Diceros bicornis minor: one gene and its partners. The protein of the gene in region 2 interacts with the protein of the main gene of each other region in a biochemical or structural test. Links are inferred from orthologs where the notes say so. Each region holds a gene or a part of one and is shown on either strand. Other genes may lie near its edges. The genes, in order: CD58, CD2 and CD2BP2.

What was found.
Region 1: the proteins of CD2 (region 2) and CD58 form a complex in vitro, tested with the Homo sapiens proteins (3 studies listed by BioGRID and IntAct, with this or other methods). The link is inferred for Diceros bicornis minor from reciprocal best matches to the Homo sapiens genes CD2 and CD58.
Region 3: the proteins of CD2 (region 2) and CD2BP2 interact in a biophysical measurement, tested with the Homo sapiens proteins (6 studies listed by BioGRID and IntAct, with this or other methods). The link is inferred for Diceros bicornis minor from reciprocal best matches to the Homo sapiens genes CD2 and CD2BP2.

What each region holds. Positions count from the first base shown.
Region 1 is NC_080743.1:48,969,277-48,977,183, reverse strand, and holds the start of CD58 (lymphocyte function-associated antigen 3), read left to right. Parts: upstream 1-4,864; 5' UTR 4,865-4,903; coding exon 4,904-4,988; intron 4,989-7,907. UniProt on the Homo sapiens protein: Ligand of the T-lymphocyte CD2 glycoprotein.
Region 2 is NC_080743.1:49,135,844-49,143,012, forward strand, and holds the start of CD2 (T-cell surface antigen CD2), read left to right. Parts: upstream 1-4,141; 5' UTR 4,142-4,201; coding exon 4,202-4,262; intron 4,263-4,404; coding exon 4,405-4,710; intron 4,711-7,169. UniProt on the Homo sapiens protein: CD2 interacts with lymphocyte function-associated antigen CD58 (LFA-3) and CD48/BCM1 to mediate adhesion between T-cells and other cell types. CD2 is implicated in the triggering of T-cells, the cytoplasmic domain is implicated in the signaling function.
Region 3 is NC_080765.1:21,531,136-21,539,221, forward strand, and holds CD2BP2 (CD2 antigen cytoplasmic tail-binding protein 2), read left to right. Parts: upstream 1-5,086; 5' UTR 5,087-5,378; intron 5,379-5,673; exon of another isoform or gene 5,674-5,824; intron 5,825-5,910; 5' UTR 5,911-5,936; coding exon 5,937-6,014; intron 6,015-6,241; coding exon 6,242-6,377; intron 6,378-6,498; coding exon 6,499-6,656; intron 6,657-6,762; coding exon 6,763-7,198; intron 7,199-7,279; coding exon 7,280-7,386; intron 7,387-7,473; coding exon 7,474-7,584; 3' UTR 7,585-7,722; downstream 7,723-8,086. Other genes in the region: TBC1D10B (TBC1 domain family member 10B), read left to right, coding at 697-811, 936-1,001, 1,202-1,391, 1,725-1,879, 1,968-2,654. UniProt on the Homo sapiens protein: Involved in pre-mRNA splicing as component of the U5 snRNP complex that is involved in spliceosome assembly.

The DNA of each region.
Region 1 (7,907 bases), about 170 kb from region 2:
ATGAACCTGCCTCTTGAATCCCAAGGGAGTTCTCAATTTGGAAAAAGCCACCAGGCGTTCTGGAACTAAGTCTCACTGGAGAGATTGCTGCAAAACTCTGTTCTGATGCAGAACAGACTGCGGGGGAGGCTGTGGGGTTCCCCAGGCCGTGTGGGCGCTGCTCCTTGTCGGCGTCTGCAGGTGTGCAGGTGGCCTCGGTGCTCAGCAGATGGTTGTGCACCACAGCTGAGGGGAAGCAAGGCGATTGCTCAGCCGTTTGTTGATAGGTGTACGTACTCTCATGAGACGGTGTGGTGGCACCAACCTTAGTCCCGCTGTTGCCATGCTCATTCTCATTTATTATGCTGCAACAGTGCTTTAGAGGTACAGAATCAGCCAGCTTGGTGGTGAGGAGAGAAGGCAGTCTTTTGCCCCATTTCTTCATTTCTGGGGTTTGGACTTTCAGTGGGAAATTGCTGACGCCTAATTGATGGACTGAGTCAATGAGGGAAGATGACTTACTTCCTCTGTCTGAATGGAAAGATGCCGGAGGGCTGGCTGGGACTGGGATGTGTAACTAAGATTTGAGTTTGAAGCTATAGAAAAGTAGGTACTGCACATAATTAAATATGTGAAGAATTTGTGGGAAATTTGAAAGGAAAAAAGAAACCGAAGCCAGTATTTTAATAATTGCTTTTTCTGTTGGGCTGGGGGTTACCGTCCTAGGGGGAGCTTTTCCAACTTTCAATGAAAATCCCCAGGACCTTTCTTTGGCCATTTCTATGGAAATGTGGTGTCAGATGAATGGTAATGGTGCCGTCTGGTGGCTGCAAGACCTCATCGCAATCGCCTCCCGGAGCTTTAGTACTCTGAGACAAGGAGCGGAAAACTGCTGACTGCTCTCTTGACTTATCGACATCTACCATGTTGCATTAATGAAAAACTACACTGTGCGAGGCCCATTCCAGGACATGGATATGACCACACCCTCTTTCACCAGGGTGTTTCTGTAGCAAGTTTTCATATTCTTTACAAATAATGGTTTCTCTGCGTTACTTGTTGGAGAGAAAAAAGAGATGGGGTAAGAAAACTACCCATGCATGATGTAGAGAGCTGTTGATTTGTTTTTGTTGGTTTTTTTTAAGGAAAACTATTTGTAAGATGTTGCACTAAAATGTTTTATATACACTTCAGAGACCTGTAGTAAATTATGTTGAAAATATGGCTGTTCACATTTACTGGAGTCCAGTGTCTTCCTTTCTCCTTACGTCATCAGCCACTCTCCTCGGGGGAACTGTGCCCCGGAGGCCTGGAGTTCTGCCCCTGATATTGGCCTGCTGGGCTCAAGGTTCATGAGTTGCAGCCTTTATTATCATGCCCCACCCCCAGCCTAAATGGTGCCTTTGTACAAATAATAAAAAACATCCCTTACTCAAGACACTTTACTGCCATCTGCTGAAAATGTATCATAATAAATGAACACACCTACCCTGACCGTTAACGCATTGCTGCCCCTCAAATTATGTAACACACAACCCACCTGGAGGCCTGATAGGCAGCTTCAGAAGGTAGAGGTTATAACCTCTAGCTTTTTGGGGGAGGGGGCTGGGCAGGATGGGATGAGAGGAGACGGATGAAGAAGGAGAGCAGGAACATAGGACAACTTTCTCCTTGGTCTCGGCAGGAAGACCACACCATCTTTCTCAAACTATGTAGTATTGCCCCCACCCTGTGAAATATTCGGCAAGTATTTTCCAGAATGAAGGAAAAAGCAGGACCTGTGCATTCCTATTCTGTGAGGCCGCACAACTCAAACGCTGGCATGTTTTGGAGGAGTTCACTACGCCGGCAAAGTGAGAAGAATGATAGAATAATTAAAGCCCTAGCAGTGAGACATCATTAGTCAGAACCCATCTGTAATTCCTTAAAATTCACAGAAGAATATGCAAAGGGAACTAGATAGAGGGTAAAAAGCAGAGGGAGGTGCTCCCTTTTCTTTTGCTTCCTTTTTAAAACTCAAGCCTTTCAAAGGCTTGACTGTGTGTTTTCTTCTGCTTATCAGCCCCATTTGCTGCATTCTTCTTGCAGCTGCTGGTTTGGCCAAGGGTTGATATGACTGTTTATCCCTTGGGTACCCAGAATGGTAGCATGTTAAGTCTTATGTATTATTTTTGCCTAATTTTTTCCAAATGCTTTCTTTCTGCCAGGGAACATTCAAAAAAGGGAAATAGAGTATTATGGAATAAGATTACCCTTCTATGCCCTTGGAGCAAATCTGCCCGGTGTTGATATAAATGAAGTGAATGTCCACTTCCACATGAGGCAAGGATAATTTTCATGTATGCAGGATTAGGAGCAATGTGTTGCTCTCTCTGTGCTGGGATTCCTAAGCTTCCTGGAGGTGATTCCAAGGATGGCAAGAAGTAGACCAAGAGAGCAGACACTGACACACCCGGAAGAGTGGCAGCCCCAGACCACATGAGCAGGCTGACTGAGCCCTTCCTTCTTATCTGCCAGTCCAGGATTCTCTACAGTGACAAGCAGATGAAAGGGGCCCTCTCAATACCGGTCACAGGATGAAAAACAGGTCCAGCTCTCCTTTTGGTGGCAAGTTCTCAGTATATGAAAGGAAACTTTCAGCCGTCTGCCTAACGCATTGCAGGTCTAGCCTTTCTGAGCCACTTTTGATTCATGAAGTCTGCTAGACCAGGCATATAAGCATGTCTAAAAATGCCTGATGGAAGCACAGCTTTTTTTTTTTTTTTTTTTTGTGAGGAAGATCAGCCCTGAGCTAACATCCATGCTAATCCTCCTCTTTTTGCTGAGGAAAACCGGCTCTGAGCTAACATCTATTGCCAATCCTCCTCGTTTTTTTTTCCCCCAAAGCCCCAGTAGATAGTTGTACGTCGTAGTTGCACATCCTTCTAGTTGCTGTATGCCTTCTAGTTGCTGTATGTGGGACGCAGCCTCAGCATGGCCGGAGCACGGTGCGTCGGTGCGCGCCCGGGATCTGAACCTGGGCCGCCAGTAGCGGAGCGCGCGCACTTAACTGCTAAGCCACGGGGCCGGCCCCACGGCATTTTTCTTAATAAGAACGCTGCCACTGCTTGCTGGTCAGAGAAGCATCCAGGCAAGAAAGACCTAATGAACCATTCCTCACCCAATGCCTGGGGACCATGAACTGGGTGGTACTTCCCAGTCACAGGGGACTGGGCAGTCCTCTCCTCAGCCCTGCTCTGGACCGGGTTGACAGCTGCTGTCGGCCAGTCCAGACAGCAGCATGGCTGCCGACCCAAAAGTTGCATCCTGCTAGTGTGCAAAAGGTAAGAGTGGTGCTTTGGACTTGGCCTTGGTTGGACTCCCAGTTCTGCCTCTTACTGTGTGTCCTTGGGCAAGTCATTTACCTTCTCTGAGCCTAAGTTTCCTCATCTGTAAAAATTGGGACAATAAGATTAAATTAATCCAGTTAATGCACTTAACGCAGGGCCTGGCTCATAGTAAGTGCTCGACAGATATTTGCTGTTATGTCACTTCCCAGTTCAAAACCGTTCAGGGGCTCCCAGTGTCTAAAGATCTGACCCCATCCATCCTTCCTTTCCAAGTTGACCGGAGTTCCTACCAGCCCAGGGCAGAGGAGAAACTTGATTTTCTCACATTTTGCCCTACACACTGCACCTGCCTGTGTTCCCAATATCTGTAGATGACAGGGAATGTCTTAAGGTAGCGGGCTTCATGGTACAGGACATTGGTCCCAGAAATTTCACTGAGATTCCTTTTAAGATTTTATGGCCAATTTAAGAAATAACTCATGAATTCTTACAGCATGGTTCAAATGTCTTGAGTGGTCGGGGTGATGGAGATGACAGCAACAATAAAGCACATTTCCACTTGGTTTCATGCTGGTGTTTATTAGGATAGCAGGGAGTCCTGCTCATTGGAAGACAGTCACGTGATAACTAAGTTTCCTTAAGCACACAGCTGGGCAGGGGCAATTCTGGTGCTTCTCTCTGAAAGAGGCAGACAGGGAGGCTGCTGTGAGTGAAGAGCTGGTTCTGGGAGCAATTTGGTCTGGGATCCCATGGATTTGTGGGAAGGGCAAGCCAATCAAGAAGACTAACCTCTAGGATGGAGAGTTCCAAGTGTCTGCTGCAGCTTGGGCAGAGAGATCTTGGGAGGCAAAAAACAGTGAGGGAGCGAACAGACTTGACTCCTCAGCCTGAGGGAAAGTCCACAGTTGAGAGGGAAGAAAAGGAAAACAGAAAGGAAACCGAGATGGGAGAAATCACAGGCTGAAAATTCCAGCTCCGGGTTGAGGGAGGGGCGGGGGCGGGTGAGGCTTAAGGAAAAGCGGGCATGCACTCGAATGAGGAAAGACAAGCGCTTGAGGGGCGCCGATTACCCCAGGTAATCCCACACATTCTAGCAGTTGTCTAAAACGTCCCGTTTCCCGTCGTTTTAATACTTGAGGAAAGAGTGGTTCAAAGAGACTGTCTAGTCCAGGGTCCCCATGGCTGAAAAGGCACGCTCCGCGCCGCTGCGGCTGCTGGAAAGCGCTGGAGGAATAAAGGGCTTCGGAGGCTCCGTGGAACAGTGCGGGAGGAACTAAGAGAAACGAGGTTTTAAAAACGCAAGCACTTTTCAAGGAGAGCCCCACCGAGCACACAGGGGGGCGGCGGGGTGACAGGAGGGACCGGGCAGGGGGACAGCCGGCATTTTGGGGAGAAAGAGCACGAAGACGCGGGACCAGCGGCGTCCCGGGGAAAGAGGAAGGGCCGGGGCGGGTGCGGGGCGGGACTGGCCGCTGAGGGGCGGACCAAGGCGGCCGTGGGCGCAGGGCGGGGCGGGCGCCGGGCCCACACTCCGCGGCGGGCGAGGCCAGTGCCCGGAACTGCGGCTGCGCCAGGCGGGGGCCCCGGGCGCAGAGATGGCCCGACACGCGATGGCCGCAGGGAGCGCCCCGGGGTGGGCCGCGGGGGTCCTCGCCGTGGTCTGCCTGGTCTTCTGTTTCGGTGAGTGGAGGCCTTCCCCGGGCCCCCCGCAGGGACGGGCAGCGCTGGGTGCGACCGTGACCCCAGGGCTCCGGGGCCGCGTGGGCCGGCTGGGCTGAAGGCGATTGCAAGTTGGGTTGGGTGGCAGTAGAAACGCAGCCAGCGGGCCCTTGGGGAGAGAAAGTTGTCATTTCCTCAGCAAGTCTCCCGTGGGCAGTCGAGAAGAAACTTTGAGCCCAGGCGCTTGAATCCTGTTTGGGTGGAAGAGGCACGGGGCTCCAGCTCGTTCACCTCTCCGGCGCTGTTTTCTCTCTCTGGGGATCCCTGCTAACCCCCCTCCCCACCCCGATCCCCGCTCACCCCCCACCCAGTGTTCTCCGGAAGGGTGTGCCTCTTCTCTGAGACTCAAGTGACTGCTAAGTTACTTGTCGGGCCCCCGGCGGGCGGGCCTTATCACTGCCTCCCGGGCCTGGGAACTCGCCCGGCACGGGGGCTGGGGACCGGTTCTCGCCGCCCGAAGGATGCGGCTGGTCGCCAGCACTCCGCCCTCCCCCGCCGGGAGTGCCAGTCCCAAAGCCAGGGATTTCCACCCGCGCGCGGGAGGGGGAGAGGAGAGGGAGAGAAGGGTCTAGAGTCGGTGATGGCCTCACTTGGGATTCCTCAGTAGTGCGGCCGGTGCTCCTTGCCCCTCCCTTCAAAACGCAAAAGAACTAACTTGTGTGTCTAGAACTGCGGCCATCCCTTTCACAGTTCTTCAGCTAAATCGTCACAACAGCCCCATGAAATATAGGTATCTTAGTCTCCATTTTTACCTCCTTACCCGCATAAGCCCCTCCACACACAGGCCCCTAGTTAAGTCATAGCCAAACCCCTGGGACATAGCAATAACCCCGTTAACTGGTTCTCCTTTCTGTGCGGGTTTCCCATTGGGCCCCTTTTTGATCGGGTGCTACCAGATCCATCTTCCCTCTCCATGCTGCATTCAGCGTTTATTGAGTGCCTATGGGGTACATACATCTATGGAGCACAGCCTGGGGGGAGGAGTTGAGATATGCTCAAAAATACCTCCCTTGTAATGCCCAGGAGTAAGTGTTGTAAGAGGGCTTAAACGAAGTGCTAGGGGCCTGCAGAGGGAAGAAAGCAATACCTTTGGATGAAATCAAATATCTTGTGAAGCAAAGACTTTACAGAAGGAAGGGTATTTGAACCCAGCCTCCGAGGGTATGTGGATGTGCCATGACATGGGAAAAGATTCCAAGAGGAGGAGACCAGGTCAGAAAGACAGGGGAGCAACAGTGTGCAGGGTGAATCTGGGCAGTAGGGAGTCCTTCGGTGTCACTGAAGGGTAATGTGCCCACGGGAACTTGAGGCCCCGTGGCGGAGCCCTGAATGTCCCCTTTGGGAGTTTGGATTCTCTTCTATAGGCAAAGGAGAGCTGTTTCTGGGCCTGACAGGATCAGAGCCATGCATTAGGAAGGGTAATCTGGCAGCAGTGAAGAGGGAGAGGAATTGGAAGCAGAGAGGTCAGGGCAGACTACCATCACAGGGCCCAAAGAGCTGTGAGGCTTTCATGTACCGTTGGCTGTGGGAAAGGAGGAGAGACACATGCAGAGCCTGAATGGATGGGGTCACCCTCCTCCAGATGAGCTGGTCTCCCCCTGGTCCTGGAACGTACCTGTTGTCACTGCTGCCTGTATCTGTGCTCTCTCTTCCCCCGAAAACCCAGTTTAGCCATCCAGCCCTTCCTCCTCCAGGAAGATTGTCTGAACAGTCCCCTCATACTGGTCTCTCCCACCTGTTCATGTATTTATTCAGAAGTCATTTCATTCAGCAAGCATGAATATCACCTGCTCTGAATAGGCCTTGCACTAAGGACAAGGCTGAATGAATGGCGCAGGCCTGTAGAAGGTGAGCCCTTTGGGGGCCGAGCGTGCTTCACTAGGAAGCTGCCTGACACCGTGATAAGCAGCATCAGCTCAAGTCAGATGCCTGACTTCAGACCCTGGCCCTGCCCCTCGCCTGGGTTACGAACTTCTATAAATTACTTAACTTCTGTGTGCCTCGGTATCTTTGCCTTTGAAGAGAGAGTATACCACTCACATGAAAGGATAAAATAGTATCTACTTCATGGAATGATTGTGAACATCAGGCATTCAGCAGATACTTACTGAGTGTCAGCTCTGTGTCGGGCACTGTACGAGGGCCTGGGGATACCAGGAACACTCTTCCTGGCCTCTGTGAAGCTTACATTACAGTGGGGGAGAGAGATGGTAAATAAATAAATGAGGAAATATAAAGATGGTGGGTGGTGGTAAAGAAAACATTTACTAATAAAGAGATTAGTAAAGCAGAGGAAAGGTGAGTGGAAGTGGTTCATATTTCTTTTGAATTTTTTAAAAACTTTGGAACATATAAAATCTTTAGAATAGTTGCAAAATAGTACAATGAACACTTACATGCTTTTCTCCTGGAATCACCAGTTATTAACATTTTGTCATATTTGGTTTACTTCTTCCTCTTTATACACACACACTTAAAATTTCTTTTTTTTTTTGCTAAACCATTTGAGAGTTGCAGCCTTTATGAGGCCTTACCCCTAAATATTTCAACTTGTCTCTTCTAAGAATAAGTCTCCCGTAAGCCACAGAGCCATCAGCACAGTCAGGAAATAGAGCATTGTTACAAAACTATTTTCTAACAGAGACCAGAAGCCAATCCCAGATCACACACTGCATTTGGTAGTCCTGCCTCTTAATCTCCTTTCATCTAAAACTGTCGCCAACTTGTTTGTTTTGCTTTGTACTTTTTGACATCGCCACATTTGAAGGGTCTGGACCCGTCGTTTTATAAAATGTCCCTCTGTTTGAATTGTCGGTTTCCTCGTGATTAGATTCTGGGTACTACCTTCTTGGCAGGAATTTTTTACGGGTGTGTTGTGTC
Region 2 (7,169 bases):
AGTATGATGTGCTACACACACACTTGGCTCCCTCCACATTTCTCACTTGAGCTTGTTGGAAGGTGTAAGGAGGGCACAGTGGAGGCACCAGAGAGGAGATGGATGTTACGTAGGAAAGAGAGACTGGACTTAGTGATTCTTAAGCCGAGGGTGCTCGCAAGGTGTAGGAGGCAAAGATGACCCTGACCCTCAGTAGGAAGCAGACGATGTCCCAGAGTTTGGAGCACGGGTCCTAGAGGCTGGAGATTAGGTTGCTGACTTGGATGAAGGGAGTAGGCACACCCCAGAACTTCCCTGGGCTCAGGACTCTCAACTGAAATGTGGAGAGGAGACCAGATCGCTTCCTGAGTTTCTTTCTGCTCTAAAGTCCCACAATTCAAGACATTCAGTTGGGTGTGAACTGCCACAGTGTTAACACAACCCAATCCTCGCTCATGCTTTATGTGGATACGGAGAGCAGGAGGTGGGAGTCAGGGCTGAAGGTGTTTCACTAGTCAGGGAGTAGGAGTTGGTCCTAAAGCAAGGCTTCTGAGAATCTTGTCTTCTTCTCCCCCTCCTCTGCTTCTTACTTTCTTCCCTTTAGTCTATTTCCCCAAGAGTGTTAGTTTGGGTAAGAAAAAGTCAATTACGATAGAGCCAGAGACAACCCCTAGACTGCAATGTGGATGGTGAGGGAGAAACCGGAGTGAGTCATCCACCGGATTTTCCCCGGAACCTCAACACATGCGGGCAGAGGCTGCACCCACCCTCAGTCCGGGGAGCTTTTGCCTAAGTGGGAGGCCCACTTAGAATCAAAAAGAAATCAATTGGAAAGCAATACATGCTCAATTTAAAAATATTAGAATAGCAACAACAACCAAAGACAATAGAACGATAGCCATTATCCCACCACGCCAAGACCCTGGTGGACATCCTTCCAAGAGATGCACACCCAACACGCACTTTTGGAGAAACAAAAGCAGTCCTGTACTGTTTATTGTGACCTTTTTTTCCATATTCAGTTTGTCATATCATGATTTACTTAACCAATTTCCTCCTCTTGTACATTTAAATTGTTCCCAATTTTAACTTATAAAAAAGACTACAGTATATAAACTTATAGCCAAGTCTTATAAGTCCCTTATTATTTCCTTAGGATAAAATCATTGTTGTGGACTTGTTAGGTCAAAATATAAATATTTTTGATGCTTCTGATTCACACTGACAAATTGTCCATCAGAAACTCTACACCTATTTGCTTTTCTACTGGCTGTATGCAAGAATGTCTGTTTTCACCACCATTAACACCGTATATTTTCATTTTTTAAATGAAAGTTGAAAAATACATGTATGTTAAAATTTACATTTCTTTCTTTGTTAATAAATTGACTGTGTTTTCATAGGCTTGTTGTTTAACTGTATCTCTTCTTTTATAAATTGTCCCTTTTACGACCTTGACCCATTTTAATATCAAGGGACGTATCTTTTCTTTCTATGTTTACAAGAAAAATTTAATTTTAAGGATATTAATCTTTGTCATATATCTTGTAAATAATGTGCCCCTTTGCACACTCTGTCTTTTAATTTTTTTTTTTTTTTGGATTTTTACATAGAAGAGTTTTAAATTTTACATAGATCCATCGATCTCTTTCTTTTTGCGATTTCTGCCCTTGAAGCCGTGCTCATCACTCAGAATTGAATGAGATGTGAGAGGAGCAGAATTAATGTTTCAAAAAGAAGAACAGAGAGCTGCTCTCCACCTGATAGGAAAAGCTTGCGGGAAAGTGGGAAGAAGAGGGAGAAACTTCCCTTAAAAGCTGAGGCAGGTTACATGATGGTCTTCACCACATCACCTGCACCAGGCCTTGCGAGCCTGGGTCGGACAGTTGGCTAGTGAGTTAGCCACTTACAAGCAGGGAAACTAGATGCTAACTGTTTGTCAGGATCTGCATATACTTAAGCGTTCCTTGTTTTAAAAAAACACAAAAACCTTTCATTATAAAGATAATGTGTTCCTTACCAAAATTTCTAACTTCACAGAAGTTGATAAAATAAAAAGTGAAAGTTTCCTTTCAGTTTTCTCGAAGTCTAAGTTCTGAAAGGAGAGCACTGTTAAAGTTCGGCAAGAATCCTTCCAGACGTTTTTCTACACATGCACTAATAATATAATGTAATGTAATGTAATGTAATGTAATATAATATAATATAATATGACATAATATAATGTAATATTATTATATTCTTACTCTTGAGTCTGCTTCATTCTATTTTAACTGTTATACAATATTTCATAATATGAATATACCATAATTTTAGTTGTTTGCAAATTTTTATTACAAAAAAATGCTACAACAAATGTCCTTGAACAGAATTTTTGCTAATTTATGCAAATATTTGCATAAAATAAATTTCTGAAAATAAAATTAATAGATCAAAAATATATATATTTTAAAGTTTGGTGGAAATGGCCAAATTCTTCCCCCCCAGAGGTCTGGAGTTACACTCATACTGTATGAAGGTGCCTGTTTCTTCCTATATTCTTGTCAATAATGTAAATTATTATCTTTTCTAATTTTGCCAATCTGATGGTGAAAATGGTATTTTATGGCTGTAATATATATATTTTTGGTGACATTAGAGGTCTTCTCATATGTTTACTGATACTTCTTCTATAGAGTATTTCTTTTATAAACTGCTCATTTATATCCTTTGCCCATTTTAAAAACTGAGTTTTCTTTTTCTTATTCATTTACAGGAATACTTTATATATCTTGAATATTAGTAATTTTTCAGGTATACTTCAAATATTTTCTGTCATATCTTTTCATTTTGTTCATTATCTCTTTGCCTATACATAAATGTTACATTTTTATGTACTCAATTGTGTCCATCTTTTCTTTCTTACTTTTGGATCATATTGTATATGTAGGTAGGCCTTCTGTACTCAAAGATATGAAAATATCTTTCTATATTGTTTTTTAGCACTATTATAGATTTTTTAACATTTAAAAATTTAATCCAACCGTAGTTTATTTTTATGGATGATATGATTTAGGGATTTCTCACACAATCATAATGCAAATATTCGGGCTTCCTTTTACCCAATGGTTGAGATCCATTGCTTTGACTTAATTTCATTTCCTGGGCAACTTCCTGAGAGAGAATATCCATATTTGTACCTAAAGTTGAAACAGAAAACAAGCACCGTTTTTAAGATTTTTACTCTATCCTTAAGAATCATAAAACTGGAAATCTACTTTGGAAATCTGTCCTTGAGTGTCCCTTTTTTCTGTGACTGGATCTCTCTGTGCATCTTTTTCTGTGTGTGTGCATCAATACATCACTCTGTTTCTCTCCCCGTATCACGAATTTCTTTTCTCTTTCTCTCCCAGTTCTCTCGCACTTCGGTTTTTCTCCTTATTGCTTCTTTCCTTAACCATCTATCGTGTTAACCATCTTAAATGTTTTTTGAATGATTTGTTCTGGTTGTTTAATAGTATTTCATAGTCTTTACGCATTTTTGTTTGCTCTGGAACAAGTTTTTATTTACCTAACTGTGAATTTCAATAGAGTTGTAAAATGTATGCTAAACATAAGATTTGGAGATTTCAAGTATTTACAGCTGACAATTTATATTTCTTTTTATCATAAAAACAATTTTAGAATATTAAAAACACCTTTTGAGATAGAGAAAAAATCCATTTTCATAATTATTTCATATGTATACATTTTTCAATATTTGTAATCATAGGATAACTGTTTGTATTCTGCGATTCACTCATGAATGTTTACCTATATTTCTCTGTGGTCTTGTTAGAGGCATTATAGCTGAATGGATATAAGATGGGCTGTATGGTTGAATCTGGCTCCTTGTTAACCGTAGGGTGATCCCAAGTGATTTACTTAGCCTCTCAGTTTCTCATCTCTTCGGTGGGGATAACAAAACCCACCCAAGTTTGTTGTGAGGATTAAAACGTGATAAGAAAACACACACTCATAAATATATCTGCGTTGGCAAAGGTGCACATCAGCAGGATCATTTTGCTGAGTGTGTGTGTGTGTGTGTGTGTGCGCGCGCACGTGTGTGTGCTTTCTATGCTACCATAAAAGAAGCAAAAAAAAGAGGCACGTGGTTAAGCTGTCAGGGGGTGGATTCCGCCAGTCTTATTTCAATTCCTTTTGCAAGAAGAGCTCAGAATCACCAAGGAAACTAACCCCAAAGATGAACCTCACATGTAAAATCCTAGCCAGCTTCCTTTTGATTTGCTTCTTCTCCTCCAAAGGTAAGTTGGTGTGTGGGCCTCCATTGCTACCCTTAGAAGCTTCTTTGGAGACCCTGAAGTGAGCATAAGAGTCAAGGAAGTCACAGCCCAGCTTTCCCTGGCAGTGAGTCTCAAGACCTCATAACTGTCTTGCTTTTTATAGGTGCAGTCTCTGGAAAGAATATCATCATCTGGGGTGCTCTGGATCATGATATCAACCTGGACATTCCTGATTTTCCAAGGAATAATGCTATAGATGATATACTATGGAAAAAAGGCAAAACCAAGATTGCGCAACGCAAATACGACAGGACATTTTACCAGAATAATGAAACATATGAGATATTTAAAAATGGAACTCTGAAAATTAAACACCTGGAGAGCATTCATAACGATACCTACCAGGTACTCATATATGATACAAAAGGAAAATATGTGTTGGACAAAACATTTGATTTGAGGATTCTAGGTAAGTCTTTGTTCTCTAAATTTCTCCATCTCAGTATGGGTGCTATTTAGCAGGTTGGGAAATAGCATTTACGGAATGTCCCCAGCCCTGACCTCAGCCTCACGGGAGTCCTAAAGGAAAATGAATGCATCCCTCCTGCCTCAGTGGAGGCGCCAGTCCTGTAGGAGAGATGGAATCCACACATGCGGAAATACACAGTTGATAGATCCTCAAGTCTATCTACCTAAACCTCTCTCTCCAGTGGTTACGGGGTTATGGGGCTGAGTGAAAAACCTGGATTATGACGGCATTAATCAGGAGGAGGGGAACAGGTGGGCAGAAGATAAAGATGGCCATTCCAGGTGGATGATGAAGGGGCGAGCTAGAAGTGGGCCAGGGAAGGGGTGGCTGACTGGAGAGCGGTGGGTCTTCAATCTAGAGAGACAATTTCAAGCCAGGATGCCCTGAAGGAGTAGTTATATGGCAGGAAAGGCTGGAAATAATGAATTTAAGCATGAACAGGCTTTGTTTCTGATCTGCTCAACATCAGAGTGATAAAAGGTGAAAGATGATTTTCGCTGATATTTGTAGAAAATACGCAAGGTGTGGCTTTGTACACCTATGAATGTACCAGGAAGGCAAGAGTGGATATTGAAGATGGAGGCAAGAAGACTAGCCAGGAAGTTCTGCTATAGTCCGAGTGAAGTGGGGAGGGGCTGGTTCATGATTCTTAACCCTGGTTGCATGTTAGAATCAACTGAGATGCTATTAAAAGTTACCGGCGCCCAGGTCCCATTCCAGACCAATTGAATCAGAATTTTTAGCGTGGGACCTGGGCACCAGTAGGTTTTAAAGTTCCCCAGGTGATTCTAATGAGCAACCAAAGCTGGTAATCACTGGCTTAGTCGAAAGGGTGCCTGTAAAATGAGGAAGAGTGAATATTCTGAGGGTCATATGTGGAGAAGGGACATTCAAGATGGCTTGGGAGCAGGAGAGAGGAAAGAGAAAGTGGAACTGAAAGGACTTGGAAGTTACAAGTCCAGGAGACAATGGCAGTGGATGATAAGAAGTGAGAAGAGGAAGCTGCACTAGGTTTGTAGAGAAAGAAGGAAGCCCAGCGTGAGCACAAGCCAGAGACTCAGTGAGCAAATAAACATGTCTGTGCTTCACACAGGAAATGTTGCCGGAGGCAGGGCCCCCTCCCACCTAGTTCTCAGCACGCGGACCTGGCAGCAGCCCCTCTCCAACAATCCCAGACATTGTTAGCTCCCTTGCAGATGATAACTTTCCATACCCTAACCTGCAACCTTGAAGGGAGAGTACCTTCCACAAATGGGGTGGGGCTGAGAATGGAGCCAGAAGAGTCCTCTGATTATGGGCTCTGGGCCCCACAGCTCTCAGGACTCCTGCCAACGTGGGCTCGAGTGCTGTGTTTTGAACATGAGCCTCATGTTTGTGTCTCCTTTAGTGTGGTAGTAAGGATAATGGGTACCAGCTAGAGGTCAGAAGCTTTGCTCACATGATCTTATTCAAGGCTCCCAACGATCCTGAGAGGTAGTTGTTATTATCCCCTTATTATCTATAAGGAAATTATCTCTAAGGAAACTCAAGCGACCTGTCCAAAGTCTCACCATTTGACAGGAGCAAAGTCAGAACCCAAGTCCAGGGCTTCTGTTAGCAAGGATGATGACTTCCCCCTCCCCCCAAAAAAGCTTTATTGAGATACAACTCACATACCATAAAATTCACCCATTTAAAATGTACAATTCAATGGCTTTTAGTATATTCACAGAGTTGTGCAACCATCACCACAATCAATTTTAGAACATTTTCAGCACCCCCAAAATAAACCCCACACTCGTTGGCCAAAAGACAGAGATCTTTCCATGACATCACAGCCACCTAGCTCTGTGTGTGTGTGTGTGTGTGTGTGTGTGTGTGTATGTCAGTGTCACAAAGCATCGTATCTCAATTTGCGGTCCGCCATTACTTGCCACACGGCCTTGGGCAAATTCCCTATCTGCTCTGAGGTTGATTTTCATAATAATAACTCCATGGGATATTCAGCAAGACAGGGCTTCAAGGAGACAACTAAGGAAAGGTGGCCTGCAGCTCCTGGGTCACAATACCTGTTCGCTCAGTGATAATGCCCTCCCCCATCTCCTTGTTTTTCCAAGCCTTTCACGGCTTCAGTCTTGATACCCACATCTCCCTTTTTTGTTTGTTTGTTTATTGCAGTAACATTGGTTTATAACATTGTATAAATTTCAGGTGTACATCATTATACTTATATTTCTGCATAGATTACATCATGTTCACCACCCATATACCAATTACAACCCATCACCACACACATGTGCCGAATTATCCCTTTCGCCCTCCTCCCTCCCCCCTTCCCCTCTGGTAACCACCAACCCAATCTCTGTCTCTAAGTGTTTGTTTCTTGTTGTTATTATCTACTACTTAATGAAGGAAATCAT
Region 3 (8,086 bases), on a different chromosome or scaffold from region 2:
ACAGACATGAATGAAAATCAGGATGTGGTGTTGATAAAACTCGGTGATTAGCCATGGGGAGTGAAGGAGGGCTCTCTGTTTTCTGATGTGGGGCTGAGTGGATGGAATTTCCAGACACAGTGATGGGGCACCCTCAAGGAAGAGGAGCAGGTATAGGGCAGAGATTTTATTCTTTTGGATGCAGAGACAAGAGAAGGGTCTGAGGCACAGCTGGCTTCCCAAGCCTTCACCAGGAACCAGGGCCCATTGGACATGCTGGTGGGGAATTGACGACATCCAGTGAGACAGATAAGGCAGGCCCTGCCCTGGGAGGGCTCCTCTTCTGGGGTGATAAAAGCATTCAGACAGTGCCTGGAGAAGATGACCTTGAAGGTTTATGGGATGGTGGCAGATGAAGGAGGGAGAGAGAACACAGCCTGTCCTAGGGAATGGGTAGGGAGCACGCAGAGTATGCAGGCAAGGGTGGAAGGCTGGAGCCTGGAATGCTTTGACTATGGTCTGAGTCTTTGGCTTAAGCTCGATAGGCAGAACTAGGAAGGTAGATGGAGGTGTGTGGTGCTAAAGCTCTGAGGTTAATCTGGAACTGGATCTAGGAGGGGTCTTGGCTGGGGCTGGGGGGTAGGGTGCAGGTTTACTTTGGGTCAGAGAGCTCCCAACTCCTGTGATTGCCCTCATGGTCTTTTCCAATACCCACAGGCAACAGGACCTGTATCGAATCCTGAAGGCCTACACCATCTACCGGCCTGACGAGGGCTACTGCCAGGCCCAGGCCCCAGTGGCTGCAGTGCTGCTCATGCACATGCCTGCTGAGGTCAGCATATGCTGGTCCTGGTTGGAGAGGGGCTGGGAGGATCTTGGCCTGCAGTGGTGATGGGGGAGCTCTCTGCTCCATTTCTCAGGCCCCATCCATTCCTCCTTGTTCTTGCCCTTTTCAGCAAGCCTTTTGGTGTCTGGTGCAGATCTGCGACAAGTACCTCCCCGGTTACTACAGTGCAGGGCTGGTAAGTGTCTGGAGTCTGGGTGCAACCGGGGCTGTGACTTTTAACCAAGGCTGCAGGGAGGTCCTTGTCCTGCCCCATCCTGTGTCCTTCTGTCCCTCTCCTCTGGGCCTTTCCCGCTGAGGTGAGGATCCTGTACCAGGGCCATTTCTACCCCAAGGGGGCTACAGCAGGCCTCTTTTCATGGCTCATCCCACTTCCAGGAGGCCATTCAGCTAGACGGAGAAATCTTTTTTGCACTATTGCGCCGGGCCTCCCCTCTGGCACATCGGCACCTGCGGCGGCAGCGCATTGACCCCGTGCTCTACATGACAGAATGGTTCATGTGCATCTTCGCCCGCACCCTGCCCTGGGCTTCAGTGCTGCGTGTCTGGGATATGTTCTTCTGTGAAGGTACTTCTGTAGCCATTCAGGCCATGAGGGGGCTAGAGTTTCCATGGTGGCTGCCAGAGGGTGGCCCACTAACACTGTTGGGCCTTGGCTTCACTGTAAGCCAGCTGGGGGCTGGAGAAACTGAGGCTTCGTCTTGGCTCTGCCACCAACCCAGAGCCTGCTCTCCCTCAGGACCCTGAAACCCATGGCAGCTCATTTCCCTTCTTGGGGCCTCAGTTTCCTCATCTGTAAGGTTGGCAGTAGACAGGGATGGGGGCTATCAGTCCCTTCTATGTGGGACGGGCTGGGATCCCACGCCTGATCACATATGCTCTCTTCTTTCTGACCCTGCAGGCGTCAAGATCATCTTCCGGGTGGCCCTGGTGCTGCTGCGGCACACACTGGGCTCGGTGGAGAAGCTGCGCTCCTGCCAAGGCATGTATGAAACCATGGAGCAGCTGCGCAACCTGCCCCAACAGTGCATGCAGGAGGACTTCCTGGTGCATGAGGTAGGTCTTGGCCTTAGCAAACCCCACACCTGCTTCAGCCCATCCCCACCCTCGTCTTCATTCTGGTACTCATTTCTTCTCGGTCTAGGTGACCAACCTCCCGGTGACAGAGGCACTGATTGAGCGAGAGAACGCAGCCCAGCTCAAGAAGTGGCGGGAGACCCGGGGGGAGCTGCAGTATCGACCTTCACGGCGACTGCATGGCTCCCGGGCCATCCACGAGGAGCGCCGGAGGCAGCAGCCACCCCTCGGCCCCTCATCCAGCCTCCTCAGCCTCCCTGGCCTCAAGAGCCGTGGCTCCCGGGCAACTGGAGGGCCCCCCTCCCCACCTCCTCCTGCCCGCAGGGCCAGTGCTGGGCCTGCCCCAGGGCCTGTGGTCACTGCTGAGGGACTGCATCCCTCCCTTCCTTCGCCTACTGGCAACAGCACCCCACTGGGTCCCAGCAAGGAGACCCGGAGGCAGGAGAAGGAGCGGCAGAAACAGGAAAAGGAACGTGAGAAGGAGCGGCAGAAACAGGAGAAAGAGCGGGAGAAGCAGGAGAAGGAGCGGCAGAAGTGGGAAAAAGAGCAGGAGAAGGAGCAGCAGAAGCAGGAGAAGGAGCGGCAGAAGCAGGAGAAGGAGCAGCAGAAGCAGGAGAAGGAGCGGCAGAAGCAGGAGAAGAAGGCCCAAGGCAGGAAGCTTTCGCTGCGTCGAAAGGCAGATGGTCCCCCCGCTCCCCAGGATGGTGGGGACAGGTCCTCGGCATCTGAGGCCCGGCAGGATGCTTACTTTTGACCTCTGCCCTGGGGCTGGACTGCATGGCCCCCCTCTTTTTCCCTCAGCCAAGAGCAGGCCAGTTGTCCCTCTTTCTGAGGAAAGTGGCTTGATTCCCCATCCCCTTGCTAGCTGCTGATCCCTGCACAGCCAGGACAGTTGGAGTGCACGGGGCAGCTGCATTTCCCTGGGGCAGCCGTGAGCAAGTCTGGGGCCCCTCACCTCCAGTTAGGCCCAGCTGGGGTCTCTGTCACTCCTGCCCCAATTCCCTCTGGGGTCCCTTCCCAGGTGCTGTCCTGATCGGCCTTTTGTCACCACAGGGTGACTCTTGGCAATGGGAGTCAGCAGTTTTCAGATTCTTACACTCCAGTTGCTCCCCTTACCCGTGAAGTGGAGCTGGGTTCCTTTCTCCCTTCTTCAGTCCTGCCTGTCGCCCCCACTTCCTGGCTGGGGGCCGAGGCTCTCCTCACTCTACTTCTGGACATCTCTGTGTTGTAATTATGTACAGAGGACCTGGTTGGCCCAGGGTGGGGGTGCTTGCTCTATCTTCTGTCCTTGAGTTCTCCTGCACTCTGGTTTATTTAAGGGGACATGCACTGGAACAGGAAATGTCCCCCACTTCCTACCCACCGCCGTCCTTGCTCTCCTTTCTCTTCACCCACCCTCCTCTGTATTCTCAGGCCTCCCCTGCTTTGTCTCACCAGGACCCCCATCTTTCACCTTATTCCCTTCCAATCGTCCAGCCTCTTATCTGGGTAAGGGGTCTTCCCTTGAGCTCCAGGGGGTAGAATCCAATGTTTACATTCTCTTCTGTCTCTGCTCCCACCCAGTGTGGCGCTTTGAGGAACCAGAAAAGAACCTGCTGTTGTACCTGGGCCTGTCTCCTGCTTTGTTATTTGATGGAGGGGTTTAGAATAAGGACTAGGGAGGGACAGAGCAAGCCAGAATCTGGGTGTCTATTGAAGCAGTTGGCTGGTCTTTGCAGGTGGGTACCTCTTGGCCTTTGATCCATCTCTCAGTCACTCATCAACAAACAGTGGTTGAGCTCCTGCTCCACCTTTGCCTGGGATCTGCTGCCTTCATTGTCACTGGCCTCCTGGAGTCCTCTATGCACTACCTGCAGTGCCCAGATCTCCTTCCAGAAGCGCTCATGCAACTCCTGGAAGCTGGAGGGGGAACTGAGGGTAGCTAGAAAGCCACAGTCCTCTAGGGGTGAGCTGGGCTCTTGGCCAGCAGCCTGGCACAGCTCCTGGTACTGGGCCTCCCGTGTGGGTAGCAGCACAGACAGCCACCTCCAGCTCACTCCAGCCAGCGCCCACAGCCAGGCTCCCAGTTCCTTCTCGTTTTCTGCTGCCAGCTTGTAGGCCCGCCCACCTTCTGTGTCCTCTACCCTGGGAGTCAGCATGGTGAAGTCATAGGATTCTGTGGCTCCACTTGGCAGTTCTCCAACAGGATGAGGCCCAGAGGTGTGCGGTCTGCCTGGTGCTCCAGGTAAAAGAGGTTTCCCCGGAGGATGAACCAGCGGCCCTGGTAGCTGGTATTTTGGGCCCCCCTCTTTAGCAAGATGCTCTTGATCTGGAGCCTGTGCTCTGTACCCACGGAAGAAACTGAGCACAGACTTTTGGTGCAGTTTCATGGTAGTCCAATCTGGGAGGAAACCCTGGGAGCAGGAGAGAGGAGTGGAGGGTCTGTCGCGTTACCCTGGGGACCCCATGCTGCCTTCCTTTGGCTCCAGTGGGCTCTTCCTGGGCACAGCTTTAGCCTAGTGGGATTCAGACTCTGAGTATCCTCAAGAGCTGGAGGTATTGTCCCCAGAGCACTGGGATCCGCTTCTCCCACCTCCCAACCCCAGCTCTGCCCCTTGTGCCAGATAACCTGGGCAGGGGATGCAGGGCTGGGGCCCTGTTTGCTAAGCAGGGGGATTTACTCTGCGGCTTTGGTGCAAGAGAAAGAGGCACTGCTGCCCTTTTCCAGGCCTACCTGAGGTCAGGGCACAAGGGGCTTCTGGCCTGGGTACTGGGCACAGGTGTCACTGCCACCTATCCTGTGATGGCTCTTCCCATCAGAACCAGGAATTCGCCCAGGGGGTAGGTGCGGGGTAAATGACTTCCCCTGGGTCCTAAAGGGAGCTGGTTTCAGCAAGTGCCCCAAGGGCCGTCAGAGGCTTCCAGCCGGGCATCAGGAAAGCCGGGCTTCCCCTTAGGGAGAACAGCAAGGCTGCACTTGGGACTAGGACAGGGTAGACAACGACGCTGAGAGCGGGAAGACAGGATTTCTGATGAGATGGTGAGGGGCGTAGAGACCTTGGCCAGCGCTGGGGGAAACTAGAGCAGTAACCCACTGGCCCTGCTGGGACTTTGCCCTTCCATCGTGACCCGGGGCGCCACTTTAAGTAGAGTGCGTCCCACTTTCACTCCAGAGCCTCTACTGCTGTACTAGGGAATGGAAGCTACTTCCGGCCATTCCTCTCGTCCGATGAGGGTTTAGGCGTTCATACGTCTCCTCTTCTCGCCTCCGTCGCCCCACACGGTTCACGTCACTTCCGGGAGGGAGGTGTCTCCGCCCCCCGCTCATTCCGTACTTCCGCCCGCTCTTCCAGTTAGTCCTCTAACCCGAGTGAAGCCACTTCCGGCTTTCCCTGGCGACTTCCGCAGTTCTCTTCCGGGCGATGTCGGCGGGTGCCCCGGATGTAGCCCTGGTGAAGGCATCTATCCTTTTCTTCCCCCGCCTACCCTGGATCCTTAGGTGAGCGCGCACTGGTGAAACTGTTCGAAACCCCGTGGCTCTGCCGGCTCCCTTATTTGTACACACAGGCCGGGACAGCTGGGAGTCACCCCGCGGAGTTGGGAGTTCGGCATGGGGAGGGGCGGGGCGACCAGGGTGCCAGGTCTTGCGTCCGCCGGGGCCTCGTGGGCTCTGGGGGAGCTGGAGGTGGAGAAGCGGGTGTCAGCCCGCGGAGCCCCGTCGCGCCCAGGGCTGCGGGGGCCGGGAATGAGGGCGTTCACTTAGGGGAGCCTGTCTCTTTTCGTCAAGGGTGGGGGCGTCCATAGGGAGCTTCTGCGCGCGTCCACTTCTCCGTCCCCGCCCCAGCAACTCTTTCTGATGCCAAACCAACTCCTGGGGGCCGCCTCGCTGCCAACTCCCCTTTCGGCCCCCGATTCTGTGCTCCCTCCCCTCTCAAACTGGATCTAGTACGTATATTCGTTGTGCTGGGGGCCCTCTCGCTGTGAGTATCCTTGCCCAGTTCCCTTAATCTGCACCGTTTCCCTCGGCTCAGCTTGGGGACCGCCCCTCTGTCCAGTCATGCCAAAGAGGAAAGTGACCTTCCAAGGCGTCGGAGATGAGGATGATGAAGATGAAATCGGTGTCCCTAAGAAGAAGGTGAGGGGCACAGACTCCTGCGTTCTGGGGAGGAGGTAGGGGAGAAAAAAGAAACGAAGTCAGAAGAGGAAAAACCTGGAGGAACAAAGAAAGGGTAGAAAAAGCTAGCTTTTCGATGTTCTCTGGGAAATGGGCTTGGAGGATTATCATTTTGAGTTCAGATGCTAGAGTATCTTGAGGAATAGCCAGTAACCTGCATCTCTCGACTCGCTGGCTCTTGCTCACAGCTGGTGGACCCTGTGGCTGGGGCAGGGGGTCCTGGGAGCCGCTTCAAAGGCAAACACTCTTTGGACAGTGATGAGGAGGATGATGATGATGAGGGATCCAGCAAATATGACATCCTGGCCTCAGAGGATGTGGAAGGTGAGCTATACCCAAGAGTTGACTTTCTGCTGTAGGAACAAATAGGGGTTTGGGGCGATGTGTGGCAGGGGGCTCCTCTTTTTCGCATGCCTAGCATGAGACACTTGTGTCTTTGGTGCAGGTCAAGAAGCAGCCACACTACCCAGTGAGGGAGGTGTGCGGATTACACCCTTCAACCTGCAGGAGGAGATGGAGGAAGGCCACTTTGATGCTGATGGCAACTACTTCCTGAACCGGGATGCTCAGATCCGAGATAGCTGGCTGGACAACATTGACTGGGTGTGGCCCAGGGACTGGCATGGCTGGGGCCTGGAGGCAGCAAGTGCTGGGCTTCGGCCCTGCTGGCAGCTTTCAGCAAATAACCCTTACTATTTTCATATTACAGGTGAAGATCAGGGAGCGGCCACCTGATCAGCGCCCACTGTCAGACTCGGAGGAAGAGGACAGCCTGGGCCAGACACCAATGAGTGCCCAAGCCCTCCTAGAGGGCCTTTTGGAGCTGCTGTTGCCAAGGGAGACAGTGGCTGGGGCACTGAGGCGTCTAGGGGCCCGAGGAGGAAGCAAAGGGGGCAGCAAGGGGCCTGGGCGGCCCAGTTCCCCCCAGCGCCTGGACCGGCTCTCTGGGTTGGCTGACCAGATGGTGGCCCGGGGCAACCTTGGCGTATATCAGGAAACAAGGGAACGGTTGGCCATGCGGCTGAAGGGATTGGGGTGCCAGACCCAGGGACCTCCTGACCCCACACCCCCACCCTCTCTGGACATGTTTGCTGAGGAAGTGGCAGAGGAAGAGCTGGAGACCCCAACTGCTGCCCAGAGAGGAGGTGAGATTGAAGGGCAGAGGAAGGGTGTTGTGGGCAGGGGCAGAGCACTTGAGGCCCAACTGGCTTTGCCTGTTATTTTAGAAGCAGAGTCGCCTGGCGACGGTCTGGTGGATGTGATGTGGGAGTATAAGTGGGAGAACACAGGGGATGCTGAGCTGTACGGGCCCTTCACCAGCACCCAGATGCAGGTAAACCCCTTTCTACTTCGTTCTGCTGCTTCTCTCCCTCCTCCTACCCCATCAGTTCGTTCCCAGCTCTACTCTCTCTTCTTGCAGACCTGGGTGAATGAAGGCTACTTCCCGGATGGTGTTTATTGCCGGAAGCTGGACCCCCCAGGTGGACAGTTCTACAACTCCAAACGTATTGACTTTGATCTCTACACTTGAGCCTGCTGAGGGCCCAGTTTGGTGGCCCCTTCTTTCCTGGACTCTGAGGAGGATGCCCCAGCTGCCCCAGGCAGTGAGGATATTGGGGGCCACTTTTCAGTTAATTTTCCTTTCCTAATAAAAGTCTTTAGTTGTGTATTAGGGCCTTCGCTGTGCTGATGGCCAAAAGCCAGGACCTTCTCCACAGCCCCTCGCCTCTGTCCTTGAGTGTGTCCTCATGAAGTTCTTTCTTGGGAGTTTCTCTTCCTTTGAACCACTTCGCCGTTGTTTACCACTCCTATGGGCAGAGCCAGGGCTATCAGGTGGCCTGTGGCCTCTCCACCTGGACTCTGCTCACCATCGAAAAATCCTTCAACTTGCACAATGTTGTCCGATATCCTCTGGGGGTTTCTGTTTTGCTGTTCTTAGGGCTTTGGTTTTTAGTACTTCACAGTCTCTTTCCTTGCAGCCAGTACAGGATAGAGCCCCAGAAGTGGAGATTTTAGGCCAGGAAGGGCTGCGA